Astyanax mexicanus: one gene and its partners. Each later gene encodes a partner of the first gene's protein in a complex. Links are inferred from orthologs where the notes say so. Each region holds a gene or a part of one and is shown on either strand. Other genes may lie near its edges.

Region 1 (7,925 bases):
CCTTTACCCATTTACCACTTGGGTCCTGCAACCATCCGGCACTGAAAGAAAGAAAAAGCAATAAAAAAAAGAGACACTGTGGCTCCTAGAAAAGAATGATTTATTCTGATTCTTCTAGTAAACTGTTATGTTCAGAGAAGTACAACACATAATGCACCATACCAATGTATTGGTATAGATATTAACATTAGAATTAAGCATTTTAATCTTAACATTTAAAGTATTGCCTATTGAGGCCAAATTCATTTGACTACTCACATAGTAAAGCCATTATGGGCTGCCAAAAACTCTGTGCTGAAATGGCTAAACAATGTCATACCTCTTTAATTTGAGGTAGTGTTCTAGTTCTCTGCGCCTCTGCTCAGTCAGAGGTTCTGACTCGGGTACACTGGGAGCCTTACAGCCCTTCTTTTTATTCATCTGTTTTCCACTCTGGCACTGATCCGGATTTGCTTAAGGGGACAATAAAGTCATTCTATAAATAAACTGCATACATCTGCATCAAAATAACATCTGATGCATCCTAGAAATGCAAGCAAACAAACAAAAACTAAATAACAGTTGTATAATAATAGTAAAATAATAGTAACTTACTTTCTCCAGCAGGTTTGTGTTCTGTGTTTATGCTGCTTGTTGCAGTAGATATGTAGCTCTCTGGAAGACAGCTTTTTGATGTAACGTTCTCTGATCTTTCACTTAAAACAATTAAAAACCATTATATTATGATAAATAAATACATTATACAAATAATTGTTAAAAGAATCTGAACACACTTATATATCCTACTCCAAATATGGAGTGAGTTGTTAAAATAAGGATCTGTTTGGTGTTCTACTGAAAATTTCAACATTTTTAACACTGCAATATATATTGTAAAAAAAAAATCTATTGTAATGCCTTTTTTTTTTTTTTTTACATTGTGCAGCCCTTATAGATATAGACACAGTACATATATATATATCATTTATTATGACTGATATAATGTCAAATGTAGTGTCATATATTGTGTAAGTTGCATAATATTAAATTGACATAATAATCATGTAAAATACAACATACAATAAAAAAATAGCAATGAGTTTCTAATATCAAAATAGAAATGTATTTATCATTACCTGGCCTTTTTATGGCAGCTGCTGTAAGGAGAAGATCTTAGTAAGGCATGGTGGGTAATTTTCCGTGTCTGTGTGAGTAAAGGTGCTGAGCTTCCAGCTTCCTAAACCAATAAACATGGTTTATGAAATTCTAATGGTTCTATCTACAACACTGTACATTTTGCAAAAGGTGGGTACCATTATTGTAAGTTGAACAAACATGCTATTTTTTACCTGCTGGTCGTCTTCCTTATTAACATATTCCTGATGTCGCCTTTTATCAATTTCGTTCTGTAATCGCGATTTTTTGCCATAAAACCATTTTAGACCTAGACAGTAGAAGACCCAAGAAGAAAAGAAAAGAACCCAACAGTGATCTAATACAGACTTGACGAAAAAACAACAAAATACACATTTCAACAAGACAATGCCAGATGCACTTATTTCATTAAGTTAAATTCATGCATAAGGTAAAATCCACCAAGACCTTGTGAAGCTAAATTAAGCAAAATCCAACCACTATTCTTGGTGTTTGAACAGCAATGAATAATGTGTGAGAAGTTTAATTTTAGTTTAATTAAAAGAAAGCACAACAAAGCACTGTAAATGTCCTCAATACTTTTTTAAAGACAACTCAATAATAACACAAATTCCCACCTTCAAGATGGCGCTTTCCTTTCCTGTGTACACTCAGCATATCCACAGTATCAAACACTGGACGATGTGAACAGACTAAACAGCTATACCTATCAAATCCAAAAGAATGTCAATAAATTACTACACATATACAAAGATGATCTTACTCATCTGAAGAGTATATCAACCACATATACCATACATATTGTTTAAAGTGTAGACATATGAATATTATAAGTACAAAGCTTCATTTTGCCCCAGTGGGAGTTGCTTGGTGGCAGGCCAGAAATTCAAGGAAAATAATCCACAATAAAGGTATTTTTGTAAAACCCATAATCTAAAGCTGTGCTGGGCAATGGCTTCTGAAACAATGTGCACAACAGGAAAAACACAACACTGATGAAAAATGCTGTTGTAGCACATAGCACATTCAAGGAGTATATTTATATACTAATTGATTAAATAAATTAGACATTACATTAATTTGTCATTTGGTTTAAAATAATATAGACCTAATTCAACATGTATTTGGTCACATAGCAAAATTGCACCTATTTCTGCACACACTAACTACCAAACGTTGCTTGAACAGGAACAATGATTAACGCTAATGTGAAAAACGACTAAATTTCACTCTTAATGAAATCCACATCACTAAGAAGCAGTATCCCAGATATGGATTAGGTGACCTAATCCATATCTGGGATAATTTAGGTCTAATTGTAGACTATTATTTTAAGTTTCCTTTCTATGGAACATCTCAATTTAAATTGTTGTGTGGTCGAAGACTAGGCATAATCCTTGCTATGTAAACTGCCACACATGTAAAATGCTTTTGGCAACTCAAAAACGCAAAATATAGCTTTAAAACCCCACAATTCACTTCAGGCAATAGTTAATACAAAAATGACAGAAGCGTGCAGGGACTTTAGTGGCTACGCTAGCTAACTCTGATTCTACATCCGGTAGGTTTGCTAACGCTAGCTACAACCTGCATATTTATTCATACACCACCTTCCATTCTTCATCAGAGTGGCCTCGTCTTCGGGTATGAAGTTGGAGAGTAAATCTGCAACACGCCGTTTCTATAAGCACAAATTATTAAATATATTAAACATGCTAAAGCCAGGATTTGTGTGCTTTCACAAACTTTAAAGCTAGCTAGCTACTAGCCAAACCTGCACTTAAACAAATCGTTTAAAGCATCTACCGCATCTCACGGTTCTCTTTAAAGCATACGGGGCTTAAGGTTGTTTACGTTACCTTTAGGACATTTAGCTGGCTCTGGTCATCGCCTTCTCTTTTGAAGGACATATTGTTTTATTAAACTGTGAGTTAGTGAGCTAAGCTTATCTTAGCTAACCGAGGTGCTGCGGACTTCTCACTCACACCGACTGCCTGACTTCCTGTTTTCATTGTGGGACTCGCTGGGCGGAACCATGGCAACGCCAGATTAGCTTAGCGAGCGCATTAGGCTAATGGAAGCTAGTCCATTACAGACACATAACTACAGTGCAGCTCACTATAATTAGCGGCGCGGTCACACCGCCAACACCACAGTCTGGGCTCCGTGCTCTGGTACAACTAGCTAGCTAGCCGTAACTTTACCTAACTATTTTAGAGACTGAGCCGCGTTTAGCTACGCTAACTTAATAAGTAAGTCCGTTATCTCGTAGCTAGCAAGCAAGCTAACTAACTTTTTCGTAGCGTAGTGGTGAGTCGGTATGTCGTATTTTACTAGCTACGCTAGTTAGCTAGCTAGCTAACTGTCTAATCTGTCGTATATCCTGCTACGCAGTTTAAGTTAATGTTGAGCTAGCTAGATTTGGCAGTACGCATTAAGTTAACTTCGCTGGAGCTAAAATGTTTCCTAAAGTGGGCAGATAGCTAACGCAGTTTTTTTTAACTGAAGAGCTAGCTAGTCATGTTGTGGTCTACAGGATGGGCCGGTTAACACGGGTAAGTTAAGTTATTGTGTAACTTAGCTACTATCCTAATAAGTTACTTGCTATCCTAAACTAGCTACAGACAGTGTAAGTTATTTATTTAGTTAGCTAGTTGTGGGTTAAAATCTAATATGTATGTGTGTAAACAGTGAGTAAAAGTGAGATTGTAACGTTGGTTGCTAAATTGTCAAAATGAAATGCAGTTTCCCCCCTCTAGCATAAATCATGTAAGTTAACCCTATCTCGTTTTTTCTATTTTTGTAGCTAAGTGGGTTAACCTCTTTGTATTGAAGGCTAGAGGTTTATATTCAGCAGTAAAGTGGAGCTAGCTAGTTAACGTTAGTGTAACTTTATCTGATGATGGAGCTAACGTTAAAGTTGTAGAAATTACGTAGTTAGTTCGCGTTAGCTAGCTTGTTATCTCTGTTTAGATGGATGAACTCTATAGCTAACTATGTTGTTGGACAAGAAACTGTCCAATCTGGAAAAGAAAACTTGTTTGGCAGTGAGCTGTTTCATTACTATACTGTTTATTGCTGAATTACCTAGTGAACCTAACCAAGCTATAACGTTATAACTAGCTATTTATCTACAGTATTACTCGAGATGTAGCAGCCATCCTATTGTCTTGCTTACTAAAATTCTCAGCCCCAAACGGATCATCATCATCATCATCATCATCATCATCCTCAGTAAACTAGTAAAGTCGTCATGTCCTCGGACCGGACATCTTCACTCACTGGATCACACGGGCTCCTACGCGGTCAGCGCACCAAGTCTTATGGCAGTCTGGTGACTTCGTCCCTGTCACCAGTCAGACAGAAACGCATTGAACACAAGGTTCAACCAGGAGACACTCTACAAGGATTGTCCCTGAAGTATGGCGTGTCTGTAAGTGCGTTTATAAAAGTGCTCTACTCTAAAAGTTGTAAAACGTAGTATTGCTTTTATCCATATTCAAAAAAAAAGTAACTATTTGCGTAGCATTGGCAAGACAGGCAGGCTAAATCCATCCCTTAATTCACAATTTTACATTGTAGTATGCCCTAATGACTGGGAACATCTTATTTGCTAGTAAAATATCGCTGAAACTGTCGATGACGAGCCAGGGATTTATACATGAGTGTTGTAGCTAAGCAATAATAAGCCATAATCAAAATCTTTTATTCTTTGTGTTTAAATTAAAGTTTGGTCATGAGGGTAAATAAGAATTAGATTTTAGATTGCAGTTGTATTTAAACAAATCTAATATTTAGGTGTAAGTAAGTAAAAGAAAGATTCTAGTTCCTAAATTGTCAAAATGAAATGCAGTTTTAAGAATGTACATTACCAATATTGTCACCTTCTAGCATAAACACTGTATCTCAATATTTTTCTCAATCATTTAAATCTAGGTATTGTTCTTAAAATGGTCTTAAAATATAATAACTAGTGGACTAAAAGAACATGACAAACTTAATACAAACACTTTTTACATTATCTACTATGTAAATATTTAATAATCGTACTGTTCACATTATTACTAAGACCCGGGTGCTGCTTCATACACCTGTGTTTAAGTAGCTTGTGCCTATTTAAATGCATCTGTTTTTGACCTCTTGTAGATGGAACAAATCAAAAGGGCAAACAGACTGTACACCAACGATTCAATATTCCTGAAGAAGGTCCTCTTCATCCCAGTACTGACGGAGTCAATATCCTTTGCTAATGAGAATGAGCTACTTAATGAAGTGTCAAATCAAGAAGAGAGAAAGTCACTTCAGCAGGTTTCCGCTGGAAACGGCCAAGCTGACTGTGAAAGCCAAGAAGTGACTTCAGATCTTTCTCCATCGGACTACTTGAAAAGGATGGATAGTCTGATTAATCAGTCTAAACAAGCAGCTGTGAAAACATGTCAAGAAGGAGATAAACAGTGAGTATTTGCAGTAATTGCTTTAGTATATAATCTTATATTGTTAAAATATAAAGTTATGTTTACATACATTGTTATGCTATTATAATAGCATTATATCAGTGACATAAAATAAGGACTAAAATTACAATAATTTAATTTTTCACTGTTATTTCTGCAAAATATTATTCTGCAGTCCATCATTCATATCTAGGAAGCAAATGTCTTATTAATGGGTATGGAAGTTGAACTTTAATTTAGTTCTTTACATTTTTTTCAAGGTTTTCATCAATGAAACAGCTTCCCAGCACTCATGTCTCCAGTGCTTCTTTCCAAGGTCAACAGGCAGTGCTGGGGGCTGTACCTCTCACAATCACCAAACGTACCAAGAAACTAAGAGACAAAGAGGATGAGATTTTTCAGCTCTGACACTGGCTGCTTAGAAGATCTCTCTGGCTTGTGTCAAGTATTTAAGTATGCAAAAAAAACCTTCAAGTTGAAGCATGAATTGAGGATGTCTGATTTCATGCCTTTGAGCTAGTGGTGCTGTGTGTTTGATATTCAGACTACCAGCATCTGTGCACTTGATGACTGATTGATTGTGTTGTGGGAGTGATGTGCTCTGCTACTGTACTAAATGTGCTGCTGTGGCCTTAGGTCATGTTTGCACTCTGGCCTGTTGCCTACTATTGGCTGCATCACAAAACAAACTGTACAGTACTACTTCCTCTGCATTTTCTGTCCCATGACTTCTGTCTTTTAGTCCTCCAAGAAATCAGACATGGCTTGCTTAATGACTGTTAGAAACACTACCTCACAAAAAAGATGATAGTTATGTTTACAAAGCAGAATTCCTCAAATTAACTTGGCATTAACCGATTGAGCAGGTTTAGTCACACTGTTGAGACATGACCGTTTGCTGCAAGTAGCTAAGTGGTATGCAAATGTGATTTTAGTCAATGATTCGACCGTTAGAAATACTTATATAAGCTGCATATTCATATATACATATGGGGAAAAATGCCCAAACATGAAAACATTTCATCTTCCCTAATTTCCTAGGCACATTTCATGTTCTATTTACTAAAGGTATGTGATACAGATTTTGTTTTGTTGATTTGTTTTTGTCACGTAGCTGCGAGACTGCCAGGGTTTTATTTCACAAAGAAGGATTTTTCAGTTGGATAAAAGTAAGCCAAAAGTTTCTGCTGTCCAGTGGAAATGAGCAAACTAAGCCCTCTGAGAAATCCTGCTTTGTAAAATGCTGCCATTGTCAAAATCCATAGTTTTAGTTCTTGCCATTTTTTTGTAATTGTAACTGAGCAGTGATCTGCAGGTATACAATAAGAAACACTGTGCCCTGTGCCCTCTGTTCTCTCATTATTGTAGGGATTTAACAGATTGCTAATCACTGAAGCCGTTACATTAACTAGTGTCCTAATTTCTTATCGATTTCAGTTCAGTGTTTTATTTATTTGGTGTTTGCAGTTTTAACAAGCTGTAGCCAATTCAAACTTGACTTTTTTTGTTTGTGTAAGATTTGTGAGAATGGCCATAAACAGGAATGCCACCAAGTAGAGTCAGAGCAACATTCAGGTTTTCAAGATCTCATGACCCATTGATTAATTGCCAAAGGGAATTGCTCTAGATGAATACTTTGTAGAATGTATGTGGTTGTGTGCGCTGTGCTTACATTGTTAACAATGTAATACCATGCAGAAATATAAAAATCTAGCAGTACCAATAAAACACACAGCTGATGATGAATAAATGCAGTGTGCCCAAAGACCTTTGGATTTGTTAGTATTTTTATGCATAATTTATTTGGTTCCCAAGGAAAAAATATAAAACTGATATACAGTGCATGTGTATGAATATGAGAATGTGTTGAACACAAAAATCCATGCAAGATTTACTTTCAATTAATGGAGCAGATTTAAAAATCTTTTTTTTGTCTCCTCTTTCCATGTGCCCCCCACATGTGACTATATCTATATTTTCATGTTCTGCAAAAACCTTGTATCTTCACTCATGGCATTATATGAATATGGCAATTGTTTTAAGATTTTCAAAATGTCATGATGAATGCACCAAAATATTCAATGTTTCTTGCAGTTATATCTATTTAAATTGACAGACTCAAAGATAGTTTTTTTACTTCTATATAGTTGCTTTTGTGGAGATACATGTATTTTGTCTGACAGTGATATGTATATTCAAATTACCACCTCTGAGCTCAAACATGTTCAAATATTTTTTGTTGCTTGTATTCAAAGGAAATCAACACTAGGTGGCAGTGACGAGTGATGTTTTATGAATTTTATATTGTGCAATTTTGATTCGCACGAACAGACCCTG
Region 2 (7,947 bases), on another chromosome or scaffold:
TATGGACAGTGAACTTATGCGACGTGGTTACTTGTGGTAAGCAGGGGTCCAAGGGGGAAGCGGTGTACTTGTGTTGGTCCCGTGATGATAATCTTAAGTGTAACCATAAGGGTGATTCTCACGAAGACCTTCACATTAACATAAGAAAGTTTTTCACCTCATTGCAACATTATTTTTTTTTCAAGTTGAGAAGCTAAAATAGAATTTTATTATCATTTGAATCTTATATGATCCAGAATAATTCTCATTACCGTTACAGTAAATGACGAAGCTAGATCAACCGGTTCAAAACATTTTTTGATGATTAATTTTTGATTAATAGTTCCACAACAAAATCCCATCAACTTAACAGCACAGTCCTTGACACTTACTTTGATCTTTTTATTTATTTATTTATAGTTAAGCAACTCTCATTACCGATACAACATTTGTAAAATATCTTTTAATTTTTTAATTAATGAAAATTATTTTAGAATATGTTTGATCAAAAACTCATGGGGACAACAGGTGAGGGGTATACTATAGTAAAATGAAGAAAAGTTATGATAAGATGTGAAACTTTTGAGAAATTAACATTTTAGATCCATAACGGTAATGAGAACACAATTAAATGGTAATGAGATGCTCTTGGCTAATTTCACACATAACTTAAAATGCTAATATGCTAACAACCTATAACTTTGCCAGCTGTAAAAGCCTTATATTGTGATAATATTCATGAAATAATTTATTTTTATATTTTTAAAAGTAATGAGTATTAAACCATAACGGTAATGATAATACACAGTGTAATTGAGGACAGTTTTAGTAATATTAACACAGATTTCTCAAAGGGAGAGAATAGTGACCAACTGATCTTATCTCCATTTTGAAGCTTGTCTCTGACGTGATGCATCATGGGATAGCTGATCAATTTCAAGGCACAGTGTAATTTTTTTAAGGGGGTAAAATCATGAAACGGTAATGAGAAAAATTGTTCGGACACCGTTATTTTGTTTAAAATCAAGTACATTTTTTGTTCAACACCAAAAATATTTATATTATGTATAAATGGTGATATTTTAAATGACTTTAATCTATTTTATTGATTCGATATGCTTAGTACTTTTAATATGGTTTAACTTAAAATTAGAAAGAAGGGGTACGGACACATAACGGTAATGTGAATTTCCATATATTTTTTATTTAATTTATATAAAAATAATTTTATATGAACAATTGATCCATACAGTACTACCTATTTGCTTTACACACAATATCGGAGTTTTTGTGAATTAAGTACTGATTTAAAAAAAAATTGTCATGGACATGTTCCCTGCAGCTTCATGAGAATCACTCATAACACCGACCAAACAGCTTACAAGGCCAGACCTTGTAACAAGTGGGAAACCGTAATTAGGTCAATGCATGTTAATTGGGATCCAAGCGAACGCTGGGCGACTCGTGAGCGGGAGAACTGGAATAGTATTAACATACAAAGGGATAATGGTCCGATAAATAATCTGATAACCATTGCATTAGAGTGGCAATCTGATCCTAATGGGGAAAAATCATTTTTCATAGGGGTCCGGGTGGATGTAAGTGGTAATGACCCTGTGGGATGGATCAAAGTTAGAGCTACAGATAAACCGACCTATACTGGAGTGTGAGGAAGAGCTGGAGGAAATGCTGGAAACCAACCAGTCTTGGGGATGACTTTATTGCAATGATGTCACTTCCTCCTTTGATAGAGTTCGAATTGTTGGTCGCCTGGTGGCAGAGGGACCGTGGGAGAATTTTTCCTGTCAAAAATTGGTTGGAAGGCTGCCAGAACAGGTTTTCGCTCCCACCGTTAGTAAAATGTTCACTCACATGTTGATCAAGGGTTGAACATATGTAAATACATGATTGGAGGAATTACGGTTTGTCGACGTATCTGTTTGATACGTCGAAAGGGGGAATTGTGGGAAATCTTACGAAGAAACCCTGTTTTACCTTGAATGTATTGACACATATCTCACAATCATGATTACTTATCTTAGTATCTAAAATTACATAATCATCGTGTGAAACCTTGTATTTTATATGCATTAACCAATACTCACATTATATTTGATCATTTTTACTCACAGTGTATTTTACACGCATTTATATAAAAGATTATCCAATAATCACAGTATATTCTTTACATATATAGTAAAACATTGTTTGATCAGGCATGTGACTAACACAGACTCTATTATATGACAGATTAACCCACATTAACATATAACATATGAGATGTAGCTCAGGCTTGAAGTATTTTGTTTACTGCAGGACCCTAACTAACGGTCATTAATTCGGCTGGTACGGGGCTAAATTGCTACAAAAAAGGCTATTAGATCAAAGCAGCCTTTGGATGAGTGAGTGCCTCCCTAAAAAACCTCTACTTCAAAGCGGGGGGTGACGCACACACACAGATAGTGCCAGGATGGAAGAATACAGTCAAGGTCAAACATTAGTGGTCCGGTCAGACACGTGAAACTTGAGTACTAACACGTGAAATTATGCATATTAACATGAGCTAATCGTTAGTAACGCCTCATCAACAGGCTTACGTCATTTTGGGGTATAAACGTGGAGTCAGATCAGGAGGGGGGTCAGAACTTATGCTGGGTGGCTGTTAGACGGTCTTTCATGTGTTAGTTCTCCTGAATATTCAGTTTGTAATAAATACTTGGTTTGCTTTCAACTTCACTCCACTGTCTGACTCTCTCTATCAAACGAACACGCAGGGAGTTGTACCCTGGACGAGAGGTGGGGGTAGCCCACCTCACATTTTCTTTTCTACAACAATATATAATATAAATATGTACATAAATAATAATAATAATAATTATTATTATTATTATATAACCCCATTTAACAAAACATTGCTTCATTTAATTACTTTGAAATGAAGATATTGCTAATTATTTAACATTAAGGGACCTTAGTAGGGTAAAAGGCAAAAAAAAAAAAAACATGACACTTACCTAATAAACATTAGATTGCAAGCAAATTCACTACTACTAGGCTACTTTAGAAAAAGAAAACACGCTTAAAAACTCTAGTTAACTAGCTTAGCTACTTAGCGGAGGACTTGCTGGGTGGATGTAGTTAAATATGATGTCTCTAGATAACTATATCATTGTGATTTAATACAGATTGCTAAATATTAGCTGGCTAGTCAACCAAGCTAGCAGTCACAAGTAACACGCCATGTTTCTTTGCTTCAGTCCCAAATAGGACGCGACTGGTTCTCTAGTGCACTATCTGAGAGTGTATTGAATGGCTTTCTCATTTAAACGTTTCTAGATAGGTGCACTAGATAGGGATCACTGCGCCATTTGAGACTGAGCCGGGGTTCACCTCTCTGGATCTTCCCCCTGGATAATTCAGCAATGTTTTGTAGTTCCTCTCAAACATTGACTTTGTCGTAAATATTTTGAAACCTACTTTTACGTTTCACTCGAGGCTACAACGATTAATTTGGGTTATTGTACTTTTATTATAATTTTTAAATGTATATTAAAGTGGCAGTAAATGAAAAATCCAAGTAGATATTTGAGAATCACGCTTTATAAACTGCTGGCCGGAGGAAGTGGGGGCGTGTAGCTAACGTTACGTGTTTTGGTGCATGTCTGGAGGTCAGAGCTCTGAGTCTATGCAGAAAATACAGTTTATTATTTAACAGCTTTATTCACTGTTTTCTCTCTCTTTTCTCTTTATGGATATTCCAGCTTTATATTCCAGCATGAAGCAGTACACTTTATCAGCAAAAAAGCGTCTGGCCAAGCCGCTGCTGTTCGGCGCTTTACTCACAGGACTTGCAACAGCGTTCTATAACAGGTAAGTTAAATAAATAGCTTAAATGTTAAAGTCATGCAGCCACACCTGTATTATCTGTATTATTATTATACCTCACACTGTCTATTACTGTTCTCAGAAATGTATTATAAACATCTGTAAATCATGTAGTTAATCAATTTGTAGTCCTTCTGTATTTATTATTATTATATTCCTTTTCTGAAGTTGTTGTTGTTATTATTATCATTATAAATCTACCAAAATACTAAATGCATGTAGTTTAGTTGTTAGTTTAGCTTAGTTTAGTTTATTTTGGTTGTGCAAAACATATACACACATACATAAGGGTTAAAATAGAAAATAAAGAAAAATAACTTGCATTTAAACAAATCAATACAGACTGTATAGGAATAGGCTTTAGACTATGTTTGAGTACATTTTGAATTAAATGAACATTGTTGTTTTATTCTATAAACTACGGACATTTCTCCCAAATTCCAAATAAAAATATTGTAATTTAGAGCATTTATTTACAGAAAATGAGAAATTGATGAAATATCAAAAAAGATGCAGAGCTTTCAGACCTCAAATAATGCAAAGTTTATATTCATAAAGATTAAAGAGTTCATAAATCAATATTTGGTGGAATAACCCTGGTTTTTAATCTCAGTTTTCATCTTGGCATGTTCTCCTCCACCAGTCTTACACACTGCTTTGGATAACTTTATTCCACTCCTAGAGCTTGGTTTGATGGCTTGGGATCATCCATCTTCCCCTTGATTATATTCCAGAGGTGTTCCGTTTGGTAAAATCAAAGAAACTCATAATTTTGAAGTGGTTATTCTCATATATTTTTTCCAAAGCTCTATAAACAGTTCATTCATCAGTTAAATATATGTGTTCACCATCCTGTTTTTAAACATTATTTTAAATTTATAGAGAACTACACATTCTACATAGTTCTTCATTGCGGTTACTTCTAACATAAACAATTAGTATGCAATTCTGTAAAGTAGCTCTTACAATTCCAATACCTATATGTCTTATTTAAAGGTATGGTAAAGTGTATTTATATTATAACATTTAAAAACGAACTCAAAACCAGTTGGTCACACAGAAAAGAACATTGAGCTGGATTTTTTTTTGCTTTTAGAAGAGCCATGCCTCTTCAGTTATTGTTATATTATGTTATTGAACCATGTGTGACCCATAACTACCAAATTGTTGTTTCTGCAACCTTTGGACCAGTGTTTCTTAAACTTGGCCTTGCCCTGCAAATTTATTGCTTGATTCCCTTCTGCAACTAGTGATGGTAACAAAATAAATTTAATTAATTGCTGTACTAAAGTACTTTTATGTATCATCCTTTTCATAAAATAATTGTAATAATTTAATAGACATCAGTGACAGACTTTCTGATAAACGATGGGTGAACCAAAAGTGACAGTAGGGTCTTTTACATTAGAGCCTTGTTACAGGGTATTTGTAGATCCTTAAAACTGAAATTGAAATTGAAAGGTTTTTCAATTTATTTTGCTAATTGGTCTTAAAATGTTTCTAATTTGAGAGTACTGTAGGCATAGTGTAAATTTAACAAAAAATCAGTTGGATATCTCTTATTTTCATTTTGTAAACCTGTTAGTTTATGTTTGATTGAAATTGAAGGTGTAGTGTGCTTTAATCATTTGGTACAAAAGTGGTTTAGATGTTGTTTCTTAGTGGTATTAAAAAGTCTTACATTGTATTTGCCAATACCTGCAGATACCAATTGTTAGACAAACAGTAACAGTACAATAGAGCCATAATAGATCATCATACGGTTCCTTTTAACATTTAAGAACATTTAAAGGCAAATACTTGTGTACTTTTACTCAAGCAGAGAAAATTAGGACTTTTACTTTTACTTTGGGTACCTGTACTTTAACTAGAGTATGTGATTTGTGTACTTTGGACACCACTGTCCATCAGTAAATTAACAAGCAGTTGGTATATTACAACTGGGAAATGTAAAGGGCATGTTGCATCCAGGACCAGAATTAAGAAACTGCTTTGGACTAATCCTCACCTTTTTTCTGAAGGCATTTGTTCTTTGAAGACCTGGCAGAAATTCGGGAGCAGGAGCGAGCTCGCACTGATGCCAAACTTTTAGAAGTGTTAGAAAGAAGACAGAAACAAATGGAAGAGCTGGAGTCAAAGAAAAGTGCTGGGGACAGGTGAGCTTATCACACACCTCCAGGCAAAGGTAATCAGAGTGACACTGACGGGGGTTAGGAGTTTAAGTTTTGTGATGAACTGAAAAATTTATGACAGCTATAAAGAAAAATGGTGAATTAGGAATAAAAAAAGAAGTCAACAGAAGGACCTTCAATTTTCTGTGGACTGGAAGCTCAATTTGACTCTGGACACCTCCTCACTACTGAAGTGTAATCACAGGATTGAAGATCTGAAGATTCCCAAGACAGGCGAACAAAAACAAACTGTATTACTGTTGGTTATGTGAGTTCCTAATTTGTTTAATATATAAGCTTAAATAAGATGCATTTTCTCTCTCAGTGTAAAACATTAACTCACAATAAAGATAAGTGTTATAGTGTGTTCCATGATGAATGCTTCTTTTGAAGTGCATTTCCTCTGCCTATTATCTGCCCAATAATGGGATTACAGTGTACAAAATCAGAATACTGCTTACATTTAATTTCTGTAAGAATATCTACAAGTAAAAATCTAAAATATACATGAAAGTGTTTTGAGCAAAAGCTGAACATTTTCAGTGAAAGATGAATGTAAATGTTCACATTAGTGAGAAAATGGAAATGTTTGTATGTTTTTAAAATAAAGAAATCAACTCTTTATGTGAAATGTGTTTTATTGTGTAGCGTTGTACTGCAACACTTAGCAATAAACGTATTAAACACCTATTAATATCAGTTGACATGCAGGGAATAATTGCTGTTAACCAGCACACAACACACCCAGTGTTCTCTGTGGAAGTCATTATGCTTGTTCTGTTGATAGTGAGGCGCAGATTTTAATCTCTGTGCTTTTGCAGTAAGGCATGTCACTTCCTGTCTGTGCAGTCTTGTGTTGTCCAGTGAAAAGGCACATGACTGTACTGTTATAAGCCAGCGTGATAGTTTCTTTGAAACAAATGTGAGAAATTTAAAAAAGCTGTGTGATAAATAGAACAAATGTGTCTTTGTTTCTGCTTGTTATGTGAAACATGTCAGCTGTTATGGCAATGGAATGAACATGTTGAGAAAGGAAATTTAAAGAAATGTCTACACTGCCCTCTGCTGAAAGGTAGTGAATAACACATTTTTAGGATTGACTAAACACCTACTTTCAAAATAGATTTAGGCAAAACTTTTTGGGACAGATTCTCATTGATTTTCCATTGAAAAGCAAATAAATTCTGCGATTGGGTTTAATAATAATTTATTGATGTAAATAATCTGAATAGCTCTTTTAAAAAAAAATAATAATAATTTTGATAAAACCTGTTGAGATGATATTTAGTGATTCATTTTTCTAACAATACAACCTTTTAAACCTCTTATTTAACATTAACTTTTTAAAACACTATCCAATGTTTAAAAAAAAATAATGAATGCACAAAGTGGCCAAAAATAGCACAAACAAACACATTCGTATTATACAAAATTCTATATTTTGATATTTAAATACTAGCTGGGATCCGCAGAAACAATTTCCACTAATTTATCAAAATCTTAGCATAACTAAATTGGTAAAGATGTTAAGAAGGTTAATCAGAGTCGTCTGATGTGCAACTCTCATTTGTTTAAAAGTTGTAGCAATGGAAACCAGATGATCTGAAATGTTTAGTGTTTTGTTGATGGCCGATAATTGAAAGATGAAGTGGTTGTGAATAGGCAAGATTGATTCTTGAAAGTGTTTTGGTATTTGAGAAGACTTGAGGTGTTTTAAGACAAATTTGTCATAAACATATGTATATATATATATATATATATATACATATATATATATATATGTATATATATACATATATATATATATATATATACATATATATATATATATATGTATATATATATATATATATATGTATATATATACATATATATATATATATATACATACATAAATGTGCTGGGCACAGTT
Region 3 (8,616 bases), on another chromosome or scaffold:
ATATTGTCTGGTCATCTTAGAATGACATTACCTCTTTCTGCTTCTCCTCAAATCTAGCAAAAGCCACAAAGAGGTTCTCATCAATGTGCTCTTCACCAAAGAACTCCACAGCTCTTTCAAACACCTTCCTCGCGTGAGCAATGTAGCCATGCTTATCCTCAAAACGAGCGTATTTGATCCAGTTCTTTATTTCAGGATGAACGATCACAAGTGCAGTGGAGTTAAAGAATGTAATCAGTTTGCTATGAGAGCCCACAATCAGGTACACATTTAACACTCACAGAACAAGTTAAATTAAACGGAATACTAGTGAAAAACAGAGTAAAAGAACATAATAACAAGAATGTAGCTGTAGCCAAATGGTACATAGTGTAACACAGATGATTTCATTTCATTTAATTTCAAATTTAAAAAATAAATAAATAAAAAATAAAGGTTTGAAAAATAAACCTCTAAACCTTACTGCAAATTAAAAAAAAAAATAAAGTGAATTTTATCCTGTTCTTCATTACACATCATTCTTTACTTTTTTTTAATTAATGATAAATAATGACCAAAACAATTTGAAAAACAAAAATACCATAACTTATTCTGTAATTTTACTATAGCCAACATTGGGTGATCAATGCAATCACATAACTCAGCAAACTGCAAAACTCATTAAAGATCAGGCAACTATTGCACACCATGCTACAATAAAATATCTAAAAGCTAAAATATATAAAAGGATATATCTCTCGTAGATGGTGCGGGCTTTGTCCACCTCCTTGTAGCGCAGCTCGAAGTTGATGTACGAGTGCCAGGCCTGTTCTTCTGGCTCCCACTCCATCCAGCGTTCAAACACCTGCCTGCAGCCGGCTACGTTCCCCAGCATCTCCTCCATGTAGCTGTATTTGTACCTGTAAATTCATTCACACCAAAGCTCACTACATGTAAATTGAAGCCAGTTTAGAATAAATGTTTTCAGTCTTCCTGTAGCAAATGTTTCTCTGTCAAAAAATTGGACAACAGAAGTGTTATTACCAGAACTGGTTGACTCTTGGCAGGATGGTTATGGCTCGGTCCCAGATGTTGCGAGCATGGTTGACCTGGCGACTCTTCATCTCCATTTCGGCATACTTCAGCCACAGTGTGACATTGCGGTGATCTACATCCAGCGCTCGCTCGTAAATAGAGCGAGCTCTTTAAACATGAATGACAGAAACAAAAGGTTTATTTTCATGTTCTTGAACATAAAAAACATGCATTTAAATATGAGTCTAACAGAATGATTAATGATAATACCTCTGGATTTCTTTCAGACTCTCCTCCCATTGTGCGTACTTTATCCAGTTGCTTATGACAGTCCTGTTCTTTCTGATATGGTCTTCAAATCCCTTTTGAGGTGATAAGAATATTGGTGATGGTTTAAACAGGAAGGTAAAATCAATGACTTTGTTAAAACAGATTGTTAGATTTTAACATGAAGCACGTTCTCTTACCTTGCGTTTTCGTAACTTGTAGTCATTTAACTCTTCTTCATCAGTGATCTTCTGTTTGGGTGGTGGAGGAAGAAGCTCGAGTTCTCTCTCCTTGGCTTCTCTCAGAAGCTGCTCAGCAGTTATCTGCACCTCTGCTGGGGCTTTATTTTTCACCTGTGGGAGCAAAAAAATGGTTAATTAAGCCACCAATGTTATGACATACTGCTAAAACTTAACACATAATATCCCATTTATTAATTATTTATCTATTAAAAACGACAAAATTGAATATTGTACTATATATATATTTTTTTATGAGTTTAAATTTAAAACACACTACTTTATATAGTCAGGTAAAATGCCATACTCAAAAACTGAACAGGATAAAACACTCTGCATTATATTTTAGAGTAGATAAGCTACACAACCACAATTACAATTACTTATCAAAAACATTTTTTCTCACTTTGAATGGTGTCCATACAGATATGCCATCACTATTATTTCATCTGCACTTTGGCTTAGTGGTTACCATGTTCATCTCCCAGCACTGGGGTTTTGGAATTAAGGCCCTATCTGGATGGAGTTTCCAGTTCAAAACATGAAGTGTTTCGTTGGTGTCTGAAAAAGCGCTGTATGTGTGTAACTTAATTCATTAACTACTATTTTTAACTACACACTATTATACAGTTAGATTCCACCAGCGGTACAGTGTTGTACCTTGCAGTTTGTCATGCCAAAAATATTTATCTATGTATGCCTTATCTGAAATTACCTATAAAATAAAAAATGTATTTATATTATTATGTATTATTTAATCTACGCATGCAGAAACTCAGATTTTCCATACGATACGAACACTTATTCACGATACACTAAAATGTCGATATATTGTGAAGCTCTACTTGCAGTATATGTTTTTTTCTATAGTTTTATACTCTAGTGTTAAAAGTTTAATACTTATTTGTTCCAGGTAGATATCAACACATGGTGGGGCTCCTATTACTGGAGGTTCAATTCCTATCTTCATTTATACAGAAGCAAGCTAGTTTCGAGTCTGGGGAAAACATACTCCAAAACCTAACTAGCTGCTACATTCTGCAGCCAGTGAAAGATAGATTTGCTGGACAATGAATACATACTAATGATAAACTTATGATAATGGCTCAAATAAGAGCTTAAAGTTATTGTGTTATTGTGACAATTTGATTAGCTAGCTAGCTTAGCTAACTACAGACCACACTCAACGGCAAACTTAGGGCTGTGCTCCAATTCGCCTATTTGAGTTCTAAGTAGGATACTTATCAAGTGTGTAGAAGTGAAGAAGAATGTTTCGCTGCACTTCAGCGGCTAGTACGTTAAACAACTGACTTAATCTAGCTTATTTCAGTTCAGCTCACGTCGTTGTTCCCAAGCTACTTAACGGTATGTGTGTACGAGAGTGTTTAGCATATTTAGCTCCGGTGAAATAGCCAGCTAACGTTAACTACCAGCTTACAACTGGTCCTTTCCCACTTTTGTTTTCTAGTTAGTGTGCGAGTGTGCAGTGCGCAGACCCTCCAATTGGTACACGTCCGTTAGCAACGTTAGCTTATCCTAGCTTATTTAGCTAACCAGCAGGTTTACTACTAACAGACACTAAAACTCACCTTGGCCACTTTGGGTATTCTCTGTTTCCCAGCAGCGGTGGACGCCATATCTGCAGAATACCTGACACCACAAAACTACAAGAACTCTGAGAGAAGACCAGGCTGTAAATATATAAACACAGAGAGCTTCAGCTAACTGGCTAACACTCTTCCACCATGGCCAGGGCTTCCGCCATTACGTTCGTCTACAAAACGGACGTCCAACGTAAGACGGAAACGTGCATACGTCATGACGCATGGTTGCCATGACAACAGGACGCCCAGCGCTAAAGTGGTTTTGAACTGGTTAGTTTGGATTAATTTACTCAGATTGTGTACATTTCTTTGCTCTTTTGGGTGAGTGACTTTCTTTCTGTTGAATTATCTTTTTACTATTTATTTTTCCTGACAAAACGACATTTTTTAGCTCAGAGAACTATAGGAGAATATAGTACAACCAAATGTGCAGGACATTTCGCTTTTAGGTCGAGTTGTGCTACCCTCTCAAACAGTGCTACCCCAGTGTATATTTAAACGTAAGAATTGTAAATACTCTCGGTAGGATTTGAAACGCCTAAATCAATAGTTATATCAGGATCCATTTAATGGTTAATCAGAGGTTTTGTTGCTCACATAAATTTGGTGCTCACATAAAATTTCCGCGCATGCGCACTGGTGTTAAGAAGCACATTTCGACACGTAGCACAATTCGACAGAACACCGCACAAAAACACTGCAATGTCCGAATGAACGCTGTATATAAACAAACAGAGCTGAGGGAGAAAGGATAAAATAAATGCACGCATAATTTTTTGTGTAGATAAATTACTAAATACGTTTTGTCATAAAAAGTACACACTTTAAATTATATCAGGGATCTATTTTCATATTCCCATGCATGAACATTTATTTGGGGCTGTTTCTGCATTTATTTATTTATTTAATTATTTACTTCCACATTTATTTATATGTGTATTTATTTAATCTCACATTTCTTCATTTATTTGTTTATTTTTACCTTTGTATTGTGGCGTGGAAGAGGAAGGAAGACCCGTGAGACTCATGCTGAATGCTCAACAGCTCCTTTATTGAACTGGCTTGCCACTCACTTACAGTCTTTAACAAGACTAGGAGAGCTAAAACCATACCCACAGAGCTCAAACAGCCCAAAGGCCACCAACACAGCTGTGTGTCTCCCAGATGGCAGATCCAGAGTGGTGCCCACCCTCTCTGCATAACCCCTCCCAAGGGAGATGCCCCACCCCTGTCATCCTCACACACAGGAGAACAGAACATGCCTGCAGGCAGCCACACACACAACCCAGAGCCGCCACATAGCCCCCCTCCCAAGGGTCAGCCGTCCCGGCGACCCCACCAACCCAACACAAACCCCGCGTACAACAGAACATTTTTTTATTTTTTATTTTTATTTTTTTACAATCAGTCGCAAACAAAGTCATTAAGGCGGGCGGGCGGCCTCCGTGCCCGCGGCGGCCTGGAGGGGCCGGGCACGGCACCGCCTGCCAGCGGCTCCGAAGAGCCAGAGTTCAGGTCAGGCACGAGTGCAAGGCCGGCAGGTTCCGCACCACCATCCACAGTGTCCGACAGTCTCGGCCTATAGGGGGCCAGCCTATCACGGTGCACAATCATAGTGCGTCTGCCCCACCGGATCTTATACACCAACTCCCCCAGCCTGGACAGCACCAAGCATGGACCCACCCAGGCCGACTGGAGCTTCGGGCACAGTCCCTTCTTCCGCTGAGGGTTATATAGCCAAACCCTCGCCCCCACCGCCAACGGGTCCCCAAAGCAGCGCGTGTCGTACACACGCTTCTGCTTCTGTCCGGCAGCAGACTGGTTGGAGCGCGCTAGACGGTTTGCTAATTCCAGCGAAGACATAAGGTCCGAGACAAAAGTGGGCGTGTCCGAAGCGTACCCGCCCCCGTCAGGAGGCGCCCCAAAAGCCAGGGAGACCGGCGTCCTCAGTTCGCGCCCGAACATAAGCAGAGCCGGCGTGAATCCCGTCATCTCCTGCACAGCGGAGCGACAGGCCAGCAGCACTACCGGCAGGTGCCTGTCCTAGTCACGCTGGTTCTTGTCCGACACCATGGCCAACTGCGCCGCCAGCGTGCGGTTAAAACGTTCCACCAGTCCGTCACTCTGCAGATGAAGGGGCGTCGTCCTGGTCTTATGGATTCCCAGGATGCGGCAGACCTCCGCCATGACCTCCGACTCGAAATTTCTCCCCTGGTCGCTGTGCAGTTCTTCCGGAACCCCGAATCTGCAAAAGAACTCCCGCACCAGGATATCCGCAGTAGTGACCGCCCCTTGGTCCGGCACCGCGTAGGCCTCTGACCACTACGTGAAATAGTCCATCACCACCAGAACAAAGCGATTTCCAGAGTCCGTCACCGGAAAGGGGCCCAGCACGTCCACGGCCACCCGCTCCATCGGGCTGCCGCACTGGTAAGGGTGAAGTGGGGCGCGGGGCGCCCTCGAGGGGCCCTTCTTGGCAGCGCACACGTCACAGCAGTGCACGAAGAGTTCCACGTCGGTTCTACACCCAGGCCAATAGAAGCGTTGCCTCAGGCGCTTCAGAGTCTTGGTGACACCAAAGTGCCCAGCCCCAGGTGACCCATGAACTCCCCGTAGGACCGATCCCCTAAGCGCCCGTGGTACCACCACCTGAAAAACGCGCCGCCCGTTCGCCGGATCCTCCCAGGTATGGCACAGCACGCCGTCGGACAAAGTCGGTTCCGTGCGCCAAGACATCATCCAAATAAACGACGCAGCACGACCGCGGAACCCCACATAAAACACGCTCCATAAGACGCTCAAAAGTAGCCGGCGAGTTACACAATCCGAATGGAAGCACCGTGAAATGCCATAGGGCTGAGCCGAGCGAGAAAGCGGTTTTCTCCCTATCCCCCGCCGCGAGGGGCACCTGCCAATATCCACTCCTCAGGTCTAACGAGCTGAACCAGGCTGAGCCAGACAGCTGGTCCAGCGTATCGTCGATCCTGGGGAGCGGGTAGGAGTCAAGCTTCGTGACAGCGTTAAGTCGCCGATAATCCACGCAAAAGCGCCAATTTCCATCCTTCTTTTTCGCAAGGACCACCGGGGACGACCACGGGCTGCTCGAAGGCTCAATAATGCCCGTACTCGCCATCTCGCGGACTAACTGCTCCGCCGCTACGCGCTTTGCTAACGCCAGACGGTGCGGCCTCAGCCTGATGGGCTGGGCGTGTGGCCACGCCCCCCGCAGCGCCAGCACTCCAGTTGGGCATCAGACTGGCTCCGACCCCACCTCTGCGAATCACGGGCAACCGGCGACGCCCCCCACGGTCCAGGATGGCTTGAGAGGATGAGTTCGGACCGCTCCGCCACCTCCACCGCGGACTCCAGGGTCTGCGGGTCGGCCAGCCTCACGTGTTTGCGCAGCTCGCTCGGCTCGAGGGCGCGCAGAAAGTGATCCAACGCGAGCCTCCTCTGGGCCGCTCGCGGAAACGTTGGGTAAGTTTGGCGGGTTAGCAGGGCCATCTCCGATGCCAGCACGCCCAGTGTCTCTCCCTGCTGTCGGCGTCTGTCCGCCACTAGCATTTTGGCGGCCGCCTCTGACGGTTGGCGGCTGAAACGTGTTCTCAGCGCCCGCGTCAGTTCGGGCAGCTCGCAGCGGCACTCGGCGGGGAGCTCGATCAGTACCCTCAGCACGTCGCCCCGCAGCGCCAGGCAGAGGTTGGCTGCCGTCTCGGCGTCCGTCCAGCCCGCACCGCCCGCCACGATCTCAAGCTGAGCTTCGAAGGCTGTTCAGTCAGCGCTGCCGTCGGAGAGGGTAAGGCGGGGTTGAGCCGTGAAGCCCGCCATCCCGGAGGCTTGCGCCGCCATCATCGCGCCGTCCGTTCCGCGAGTCGGCGCCGCTGTCCTTGCGCCATCCGCTCCGTGAGCAGCTGAGCAGGCGTTTCTCAACAAGAGGAATTTCGGCCTGAAATCGCTGCTCTGATTTTCGGTTCCTACTGAAGATTTATTCCGCCAGCAAAACGGAGAGAACAGAACTGAACTGAGCTGATCTGAGGTAAAATACTCCACTACACCAGCAGCTACCCCACTATAGTACTATCCTTACAGAATTACCTTTTTTTAGAAAACTATATATTAAAACTGAGGAAATTATTTATTAAATTAACAGATTTATGACAACTAAAGAATATTTTTTTTAAATTAACAGAACCTTTTATTGAAACAAAGGGAATTATTTATTAAAGTTAACATAACGATTTATTACAACTGAAGAAAGTATTTAATACATTTAACGTAACGATTTATTCAAACTGAGGTATGGAATTTGGAACGATTTAGTTAAAACTGAGAGAATTATTTATTACATTTTACAGAAAGATTTATTAAAACTGAGGGAATTATTTATTAAATTAAGAGAAAGACTGTTTATTAAATCAAGAGGATTATTTAATATATTTAAGTAAACATATTAATTACATCCAAGGAATTATTTATTACATTAAGTTAACAATATTTTAAATTATGGACAAATATATTTATATTATATAATATATTGTAAGAGAATGATTTACTACATTAAGGAAAATAATTTATTATATTTAAGTAAACCCATTTATTGTAATATGAAATAATTATGTTAAATAATTGTACTTAATAATAGTTATAAAATATATAAAGATTTATTGTTTGTGAAACGTCTGTACGACTGTTTATGGTTTAGGAATTGTGTAGATTGGCTGAACCCTTGTTTCTGTACGTGCCGTATTAGGAAAACGCCCACCAGCGACAGCTCGTTCTGAGTGAGACACGTCCACAAGCGACTCATCGCCTGTTGCACAGGCGACACAGAGCGATTTTATCGCGTTCGGTGTGAACGTACAGTAAGCCGGACGACGCGGCACATTATATTTAAAGTCCGCTAACTGCCCTGTACATTGTTTACTTCCGTTCAGAGGCGAAGCTTAGACATGATGCTGACAAAGTGGGCGGAGCTGGACGCACTGGACGTCCAACTCCGCCTTCCTGCAGGCTGCAGTCAGTACCCTCTCAAAATAACCGGAAAACAGCAAAAATGAGCCGTGGATACAGTTGCTTCAGGACGAGCATGTTCGTTTGGCGAATTTGAACTGACCTAGAGTACTGTCCCTGAAGTTGCTGCTGCTGGTATAAAAACACAATAGCAGCACTACTATGGAGACGAAATGAATCTGTTCATTCATTTTATCCTTATCCTGGAAAGGCTTTCCACCGAATGAACCAAAACCAATAAGGAAAACGCATCGATACGTAAGTGATGATAAAAGGATGTAGGAGTATCACACAAAGGTCTTTGTTGCGCTCCCTAAACTGCAGTATGAAAACAAAAATAAGCGGACCAAATATATACAATGTAGCAAACACATATGAACCTTGGTTCAGACCAGGGTCCGGACTTTCAGGGTTGAAAAGCAGGATTGGTCAGCTGGTGAATCAGTTATTCATTTATATGTGAATTTATTTATTCATACTTG
Region 4 (7,910 bases), on another chromosome or scaffold:
GTGGTTCATAAGGGTGTAAAATAAGGATAATAAAGGATAATGTGTTAATACTCTGTTTGAACAACTGCTCAAGGACTCAACGTGTATATAAATTTATTTCTACTTTTTTCCCTATTATCTCCTAATTTTAGCTAGGCCAACTGTCTAATATATTCAGCTGCTACACAGCTGTATATCCCCAAGCACTGGTGATGCCACAACACAAGGAGGGTGAAGACCAGCACATGCCTCCTCCAACACATGTGAAGTCAGACTTCACCTCTTTTAGAACTGCTGCTGATGCAGCATTGCCGAGGAGCATCCCAGCGCTCTCAGAGGAAAGCGCAGCGACTCTGTTCTGATACATCAGCTCACAGACGCAGCCTTATGCTGATCAACATCACCCTAGAAGTGATGTGGAAAAAGAGCACCATCAGCACTTTCAGACTGCTGGACCAGTTGGAGCCCCTTATGGTGTGTATACACACTCTACTCACTCTCCTATATATACAACAGTACTGATCAGACAGATCCTAAAGTCCAGCACTCACCCATCCCTACTGAACACTCGTATCCACGCCTGCACGTTCGGCCCGAGGACACACAGACACCTCAGTGTGGTGAAAGTAGAGAGCAGCACAGCCAGTGAAAACGTCTCCAGCGCTGACCTTTACAATTACATAACAAGGACAACACAGCAGTGTGTTAAATATATGTAACTATTATATCACAATATTTAATTAACAATAAACTTAAGGATACAGGACAAAAAAAATCAGTTTAAAGCAGATGAATCTAGGGATGTTAGCAAGGACTCTGTCTTTACTCTTTAATTACAATAAATATATTACAATATTTCGCCTCCTTACGACTCAGGAATACTACTGAATCTGCTTTCAATTAATTAAAAAAATCTTAAGGACTGCTGTTTAAATACACACTTTTCTTCAAAATGTGCTGTACTTCTTATTGAACAGCACTAATTACATCTACATTTAGTTTAGTTAGTCTTAGTTAATGTTATTCAAGCATTAATAAAAAAACAAATTGATATGCTTAGAGAATAAATTTACATTTACATTTAGGGTATTTAGCAGACGCCCTGATCTAGAGTGACTTACAAAAGTGCTTTGTTGTTTACTTCAAAATATCCATAGATAGTTCGTAGAGACAAGGATCAGGAGATACAGCAAGCTTTGATAATGTTTAGAACTCTAGCAGAATTTTATTGTATATGTATATAAAAAAATGATCAAATCAAATTAAATCAAATGTATTATTTGTATAGGGCTTTTTACAACTGATGTCATCACAAAGCAGCTTTCCAGAAATGTGATCACAGGACAGAGTATCAGGCAGAGTATCAGCTTTTAAATAAAATATATACAGCTCTGGAAAAAATTAAGAGACCACTTTAGTTTCTGAATCAGTTTCTCTGATTTTGCTATTTATAGGTTTATGTTTGAGTAAAATGAACATTGTTGTTTTATTCTATAAACTACAGACAACATTTCTCCCAAATTTCAAATAAAAATATGGTCATTCAGAGGATGTATTTGCATTAAATGAGAAATGGCTGAAATGCCAAAAAAAAAGCAGAGCTTTCAGACCTCAAATAATGCGAAAAAAAAAAAAAGTTCATATTCATAAAGTTCAGAAATCAATATTTGGTGGAATAACCCTGGTTTTTAATCACAGTTTTCATCATGCATCTTGGCATCATGTTCTCCTCCACCAGTCTTACACACTGCTTTTGGATAAATGTATGCCTTTACTCCTGGTGCAAAAATTCAAGCAGTTCAGTTTGGTTTGATGGCTTGTGATCACCCATCTTCCTCTTGATTTATATTCCATGGGTTTTCAATTTGGTAAAATCAAAGAAACTTATAATTTTTAAGTGGTCTCTTATTTTTTCCACAGATGTATATATTATATTATGTTTAATATAATTAATCCCAATAACAAATGTAACTATACACAATAAAATAATGCCATATTGCCCAGCTCAACTAAATGCATGGGAAAATATGATACGGAACATCTTATGTAAACTCTAACAGCCTGAGGTCTATGTTTTGGTTTAACAGCCTAATTTACATACTGCGATCTACACAACAAAAGCCTTATTTACACATAATACTCACTCCAGCAGCGGCGCTCCGTACAGAACAATCACCGTGTGGAAGAAGAGACACGACAGCAGCAAATACACACAGGATCTGATCAGCTTAGACAACTGAAGTAATAAAAAAAGAAGAAAAGAAATGTTATAAATAAAGTATCAGATCAACATATCATCCAATGAGTTGTGTGGATTATTTATTTATTATTTAATTTACTACCTTATAACTCAGTGTGTTCTTCTTTGTTGGTGGACTGATGCCCAGAAGCCAAAACACTGCGATGTTGACCACAGCAACAGAGCCAGCAACAGAATACAGCCAGATTAGGTGCGTCCCGTACACGGAGAACTTCTCCACCAGAACGGCCGGCATCACTGTGGCCATAAAGATGGAGGCGGCGATGATGGCGTGGGCCGAAGCCATCCCCCTGATCTCCACGTCCCACATTATTCAGGATATTCTTATTGAGCTATGTAAAAAGAAAAAAAGCATAAATTCAAAAGTGTTATTGATTAAAATGCACAAAATGTGTTTTATTATACAAGTTACAGAATTTGGAAATCCGCAGTAGGGGTGGGCAATATTGCCCTAAACTAATATCAACATTTAAATTTTCTTAGCGAATATAACAAAAGATTTAAAAAGAAAAAAAAACATTTTATCTGTTTCGTAAACAGTAACTTACCAAAACCTTGATTTCGTGTCAAACATTAATACTACCACAATTGTGCAGCATTTTAGTGCATGTATATAAACAAATAATTACAAGTAAATTCAGTAAATAGCAAAACAAATTTAAAAAAAGTCAAAAATATTGCTATCCCAATACAGTGTTTTTTATAGTCTTAAAATAGTTAGAAATATTAATCCACAAATATGGCACAACTGATGCTCTCAAACACAGTAAGAGGCAAATAATTAAAGTAATTAACTCTTGATGAGTTCAGTACAGCTGTTAACTGAAAGCCTGAATTCCAGGTGACTCTACCTCATAAAACTGACTAAGAAAATCCAGCCAAGATATTCAAAGCTGTCATCTAAGCAAGAGGAGCTACTTTGAAAAATCTAAAATAGGAAACATATTCTGGTTTATTTGACTCTTTTTGTTTACTACATATTTACATATGTTTTTCTTCATAGGTTAAGTGACTTTAATATTAATCTAAAATGCAGACATTTTTAAATAAAGAAAAACTACTCAATTTAAGGTATGTCCAAAATGTCCACTTCTACTGTATGTATACAAATTAAATTAAATTAATATTAAACATATTGTGACACAGGTACATGGGTAATTTAATGGCTTTAATATTGCTAAATAAAAAGGTGCAATTAAAGAACGCAATAAATAAGTTGTACAAAAACATTTTAAAACGGTGTGCGGTATGTATACAGTAAACGTGATGTATAATTTATACATACATACATACATAATACATACATTTAAAATATTAAAATCATCAATAAATAAAATAAAATTCAAACTTGCTCTTAGTATCGAACATTGATGCAGAAATGAACATAGAAACCTAATAATTGTAACACTATACTGTACGAACCAATATGAATCAGAAGAATACACAATGGTTCGTACAAAAAGACACAGTAATTAATAAATAAGCTGTAAAATATATAATATTAAATTAAAATATTATGCATACAGTGGAATTAGATTAGATAACCCAGATGTAGGAACAGCAGTCAGTACTTACTGATACAGGTTTTCTCCAGACTTCTGCTCTTCTGAGGCTCGCTGTGTTTTTATTACTGCATTTGATAAAACTAACCTAAAACTAACATCAACGTAGAACATGAAATATTAAACTATGAGCTTTAGTTTAATGGTTCAGGATGTTTCTATAGAGAGGAACGACATGACCGACTGAATTAACTACAGCGAATATCCGGCAACACCGAGCAGTCTATCAGCGGGACACAACAAGGTTAAAGCCCCACTCTGTCAAAATAAAAGTCTCAAATATTCTCATTATATTCTGTAATAGTTTACTATTATAATGTTCTACTAATTCAATAAATATTTATTTTTAATATTATAATGATAATAATTCATATTTACTGTATACGTCTAACATTATAACGACAATTACGATTAATGTACATTTTAAGCATTATAATGATAATTAAATTGCCTAAAAAGCATGTTTCTAATAAAATAATAACAAAAAATATTACTGTCTGTTTTTAACATTACACTGACAAATAAGATTACTAAAAATCATGTATGTTCTTTCTTGAATTGTATTGAATATTAATTATAATACTATCACTTTAAACATCTGATTTGGCAGCGTATTTATTTTATGAAACCAACGTGCACACAACAATAGTGCTATATAATATATCGAAAATTCACAAATATACACAGTTTAAAAAAAAAACAATTACATTTTTAAATTTGTCACATATTTCAATGAATAGTGTAGATGTAATTTGCCGTTTTATAAATAAATAAGCATGTAAATAATTAAAAGAAGAAAAAATATATAATATTAAATAAAATGAGAAAATATTAAGGATTTTAATTAAAATTAACGAAATCAAATTAGTAATTTTTAAGAATAGTATAAATATAATTTGATCTGTAAAAAATAATAACAAAAAAATAAAATAAATATAAATTTAATTTGTTATCGTTCTTCTGTGAACGTTAAGCTGGGACTTTTATTGTAAAGTTAAGGACTTTTATTGTAAAGTAAACGGTTGCTGTATTCTGGAGCTGCGCAGTGTGAGCAGTTACAGCTGCTGTTTACGGGTTTTAGATTGAGGATTGTGTTTAACGGCAGCAGGATGGTCTGTGATAAATGTGAGTAGTTTTATATATGTAATAAGACCGTATATTAATTATAATTCAGTAATTTAAGGTGATTAAATCGGTGAATTTCGGGTTACAGCTGAAAGTGTCCCGTTGTTTCCTGGTGTTGTTTAGACTGTTAGCTAGAGTTAGTGTTAGCATTCCGGCCCAGATAACCCTTCACTGTTATAACCTGCGTTTACTGTAATAATTTTAGTTTACCTAGTCAAATAAACGGTTCATCTTCTTAAATTACTTACCTACACATCATATTTCACTATATATACAGATAAACTGTTTAGTGAAACTTATATTAGCTTTAGTTTAACTGTAAACACTAAACACAACACAATATAAATTATTTAGTCTGTTTTGGGTGCCCTTCTTTCTGTTATCTAATCTAGCGTAGTTTAACTTAGCATAGCCAGTTTATATAATAAATTAATTATTATATATATATATATATATATATATATATATATATATATATATATATATATATATATATATATATATATATTATATAGATGTATCACACACAGTGATCTATTTTAAGCGTTTATTTCTTTTATTGTTCATGATTATGGCTTACAACCAATAAAAACCTCAAAATCAGTGTCTCAGAAGATTAGAATATTACATAACTAGTGCAGAAAATGAAATCTGCATCTCCATCAAAGTTGTCAGCAGAGGGAAGCATGAAGTGCTGTAAGAATTTAGACTTGATAATAAAACACAGTGGATCAACACCAGCAGATGACATGTCTCTCCAAACCATCACTGATTGGTGGAAACTTCACACTAGACCTTAATCAGCTTTGAGACTGTGTGACTCTCCACTCTTTCTCCAGATTCTGCTCTCTTGATTTACAAATGAAATGTAAAATTTACTGATGATCAGTGATGGTTTGGAGGGACATGTCATCTGCTGCTGTTGATCCACTGTGTTCTATGAAGTCTAAAATCAGTGCAACTTTTGTAGAGAGGTTTTAATTTTCTTATTATTCGTTTTCTTCCCAGGTGAGAAGAAGCTTGGTAAGGTTATCACTCCAGATACCTGGAAGGATGGTGCACGAAATACAACAGGTACAGCCTGCTTAATAAAACATTATTCAAAATGTTATTTTTTTTATTCTCTGCTTATAGTTAATACATTAGTAGATCTTTGACAAGTAAAAACAGCCACAATATAACTAATATGTTTGTTTACAGAGAGTGGTGGACGGAAACTTAATGAAAATAAAATGCTGACCTCAAAAAAAGCCAGGTATGACTATTACTTTTATTTTTATTATGTCTAATTTATTAGTTTATTTATTTGATTACTAATTTAAACCATTGATTACATTAAAGTAAGCATTTGCTTGTATTTCCTCTGTTAGGTTTGATCCCTATGGAAAGTCTGGTTTCGCCACCTGCAGAATATGTAAAAGCTCTGTCCACCAGGCTGGATCTCATTACTGCCAGGGATGTGCTTACAAGAAAGGTAAGTTTAGGAGCAACATGTCACTGAATGTTTCAGACATGCTAAGTGGAGTAGGGATATTTAATTATTTTTGTTGATTACAGTTAGGCCTGTCACGATAACAATGTTTTGTGAATGATATGTTGGCCCAGAAACTATTGCGATAAACGATATTGTTGGCATTTTAAGACCATTAAATGGCACTTATATAATAACATAATATCATAACAAAGGAATTACACCCTTTTAAAGACTATACACATTGCGAAGTGTTCAGGCAGGGGAAGCGTAGGTCCCACCCCACACTATGATGTGCAGCCTCAGTTTGTCCCAGCTGGCCCACATTGGACCGGCATTAAGATCCTGCCTGAGAGATATGCTGATGGTGAGAGGAAGGCTGAGGCAACATGAACCTAAGAAACACTAAAGTCAAGTGACTACAGCCGCACTGGGCCGTTACTATATGTTTCTTCATGTTGGTTTGGGTGTTGATGGAGGGCATTTTTCCTAATGAAGGTACGTTTTGAGTTCATCCACTCCCTGTGTCTGTGACTCTCTGTGCTTCCGCAGTACCCCGCGTCACGGTGTCACAATATATGTGCATTTCGTAAGTGCAAACAATATGGACGATATAACGATTATTAAATTGACTAAGGCCATGTATATTTATTGAACGATAAGTCGATAATGTAATTACTGTGACAGGCCTAATTACAGTCAATATTATACATACATTCTTTTTATTGATTTTACTATACATTTCTGCCTTAAACCTTAATACTAGTTTCTCAAGTGTAGAGAAAGAGAGGGAGAGAGACTGCACAAGTGAGCGAGAGACAGACAGACAGAGCAAGGTAGACAGCGCAAAGGAGAGCAAGCGAGAGGGAGAGACAGCGCAAGTGCCTAAGACATTTCAGCACAGTGGCGGTGTGTGGACAATTTGAAAGATCTGCATTTCTCTCCGCTCTGCATTTGGTGCGTTTATGAGTGTTTCATTCAAAATGATCAAGAACAGACCTTTTTTTTTTTTTTAAACCATTTGATTCTTGGTAGTACCAAGACATTTTGGTCGGTGCCTTTTTGGCATCGAATTTCAACACCCAATCGTAGTTTACATGAGGTTACATGTTTTCTGTGAGGTTTTATTCCCATCTGAAATGGCGTATGTTTTTTTTTTTCGTCTGTCCTTTCTATGAAAATTTTAGGTAGAATTATCTGCAGATTTTTTCACAGAAGTGTCATTTTGCAAACCACTGCAATAAATCATAAGGCTGTGATTGTTTGTGTAAACAATGTTTTTATTTGTTACAGGGATCTGTGCCATGTGCGGGAAGAAGGTTCTGGACACCAAGAACTACAAACAGACCTCAGTGTGATTGGAATTCTGTTTCATAGACAGACAGTTCATAATGTTGGGAGAGGTGAGGGAGGGAATTATAGCAGTGATTAAGATTTTTTAACTCAGAACTTCTATTCGCTACCTATTCTCAGTTTGTTAAATTAGTGAAGTAAGAGGAGTTCACCGGTTGGT

The links.
Region 2: scnm1 (region 1) and armc7 share a complex: the UniProt entries of both Homo sapiens proteins name them as parts of the minor spliceosome. The link is inferred for Astyanax mexicanus from reciprocal best matches to the Homo sapiens genes SCNM1 and ARMC7.
Region 3: scnm1 (region 1) and crnkl1 share a complex: the UniProt entries of both Homo sapiens proteins name them as parts of the minor spliceosome. The link is inferred for Astyanax mexicanus from reciprocal best matches to the Homo sapiens genes SCNM1 and CRNKL1.
Region 4: scnm1 (region 1) and cript share a complex: the UniProt entries of both Homo sapiens proteins name them as parts of the minor spliceosome. The link is inferred for Astyanax mexicanus from reciprocal best matches to the Homo sapiens genes SCNM1 and CRIPT.

Annotation. Positions count from the first base shown.
Region 1 is NC_064413.1:39,898,946-39,906,870, reverse strand, and holds the start of scnm1 (sodium channel modifier 1), read right to left. Parts: upstream 3,163-7,925; 5' UTR 3,045-3,162; coding exon 2,994-3,044; intron 2,816-2,993; coding exon 2,745-2,815; intron 1,841-2,744; coding exon 1,752-1,840; intron 1,424-1,751; coding exon 1,329-1,423; intron 1,217-1,328; coding exon 1,116-1,216; intron 696-1,115; coding exon 595-695; intron 453-594; coding exon 320-452; intron 42-319; coding exon 1-41. Other genes in the region: lysmd1 (lysM and putative peptidoglycan-binding domain-containing protein 1), read left to right, coding at 4,388-4,567, 5,281-5,588, 5,849-5,996. UniProt on the Homo sapiens protein: As a component of the minor spliceosome, involved in the splicing of U12-type introns in pre-mRNAs. Plays a role in the regulation of primary cilia length and Hedgehog signaling.
Region 2 is NC_064422.1:33,672,764-33,680,710, forward strand, and holds the start of armc7 (armadillo repeat-containing protein 7), read right to left. Parts: upstream 3,243-7,947; 5' UTR 2,994-3,242; intron 1-2,993. UniProt on the Homo sapiens protein: As a component of the minor spliceosome, involved in the splicing of U12-type introns in pre-mRNAs.
Region 3 is NC_064408.1:84,184,317-84,192,932, reverse strand, and holds the start of crnkl1 (crooked neck-like protein 1), read right to left. Parts: upstream 3,291-8,616; 5' UTR 3,158-3,290; coding exon 3,110-3,157; intron 1,635-3,109; coding exon 1,482-1,634; intron 1,377-1,481; coding exon 1,285-1,376; intron 1,183-1,284; coding exon 1,024-1,182; intron 900-1,023; coding exon 733-899; intron 211-732; coding exon 32-210; intron 1-31. UniProt on the Homo sapiens protein: Involved in pre-mRNA splicing process. As a component of the minor spliceosome, involved in the splicing of U12-type introns in pre-mRNAs.
Region 4 is NC_064422.1:39,625,744-39,633,653, reverse strand, and holds the start of cript (cysteine-rich PDZ-binding protein), read left to right. Parts: upstream 1-4,794; 5' UTR 4,795-4,910; coding exon 4,911-4,926; intron 4,927-5,934; coding exon 5,935-6,000; intron 6,001-6,126; coding exon 6,127-6,181; intron 6,182-6,296; coding exon 6,297-6,400; intron 6,401-7,690; coding exon 7,691-7,755; 3' UTR 7,756-7,910. Other genes in the region: pigf (phosphatidylinositol-glycan biosynthesis class F protein), read right to left, coding at 531-647, 2,124-2,215, 2,322-2,549. UniProt on the Homo sapiens protein: As a component of the minor spliceosome, involved in the splicing of U12-type introns in pre-mRNAs. Involved in the cytoskeletal anchoring of DLG4 in excitatory synapses.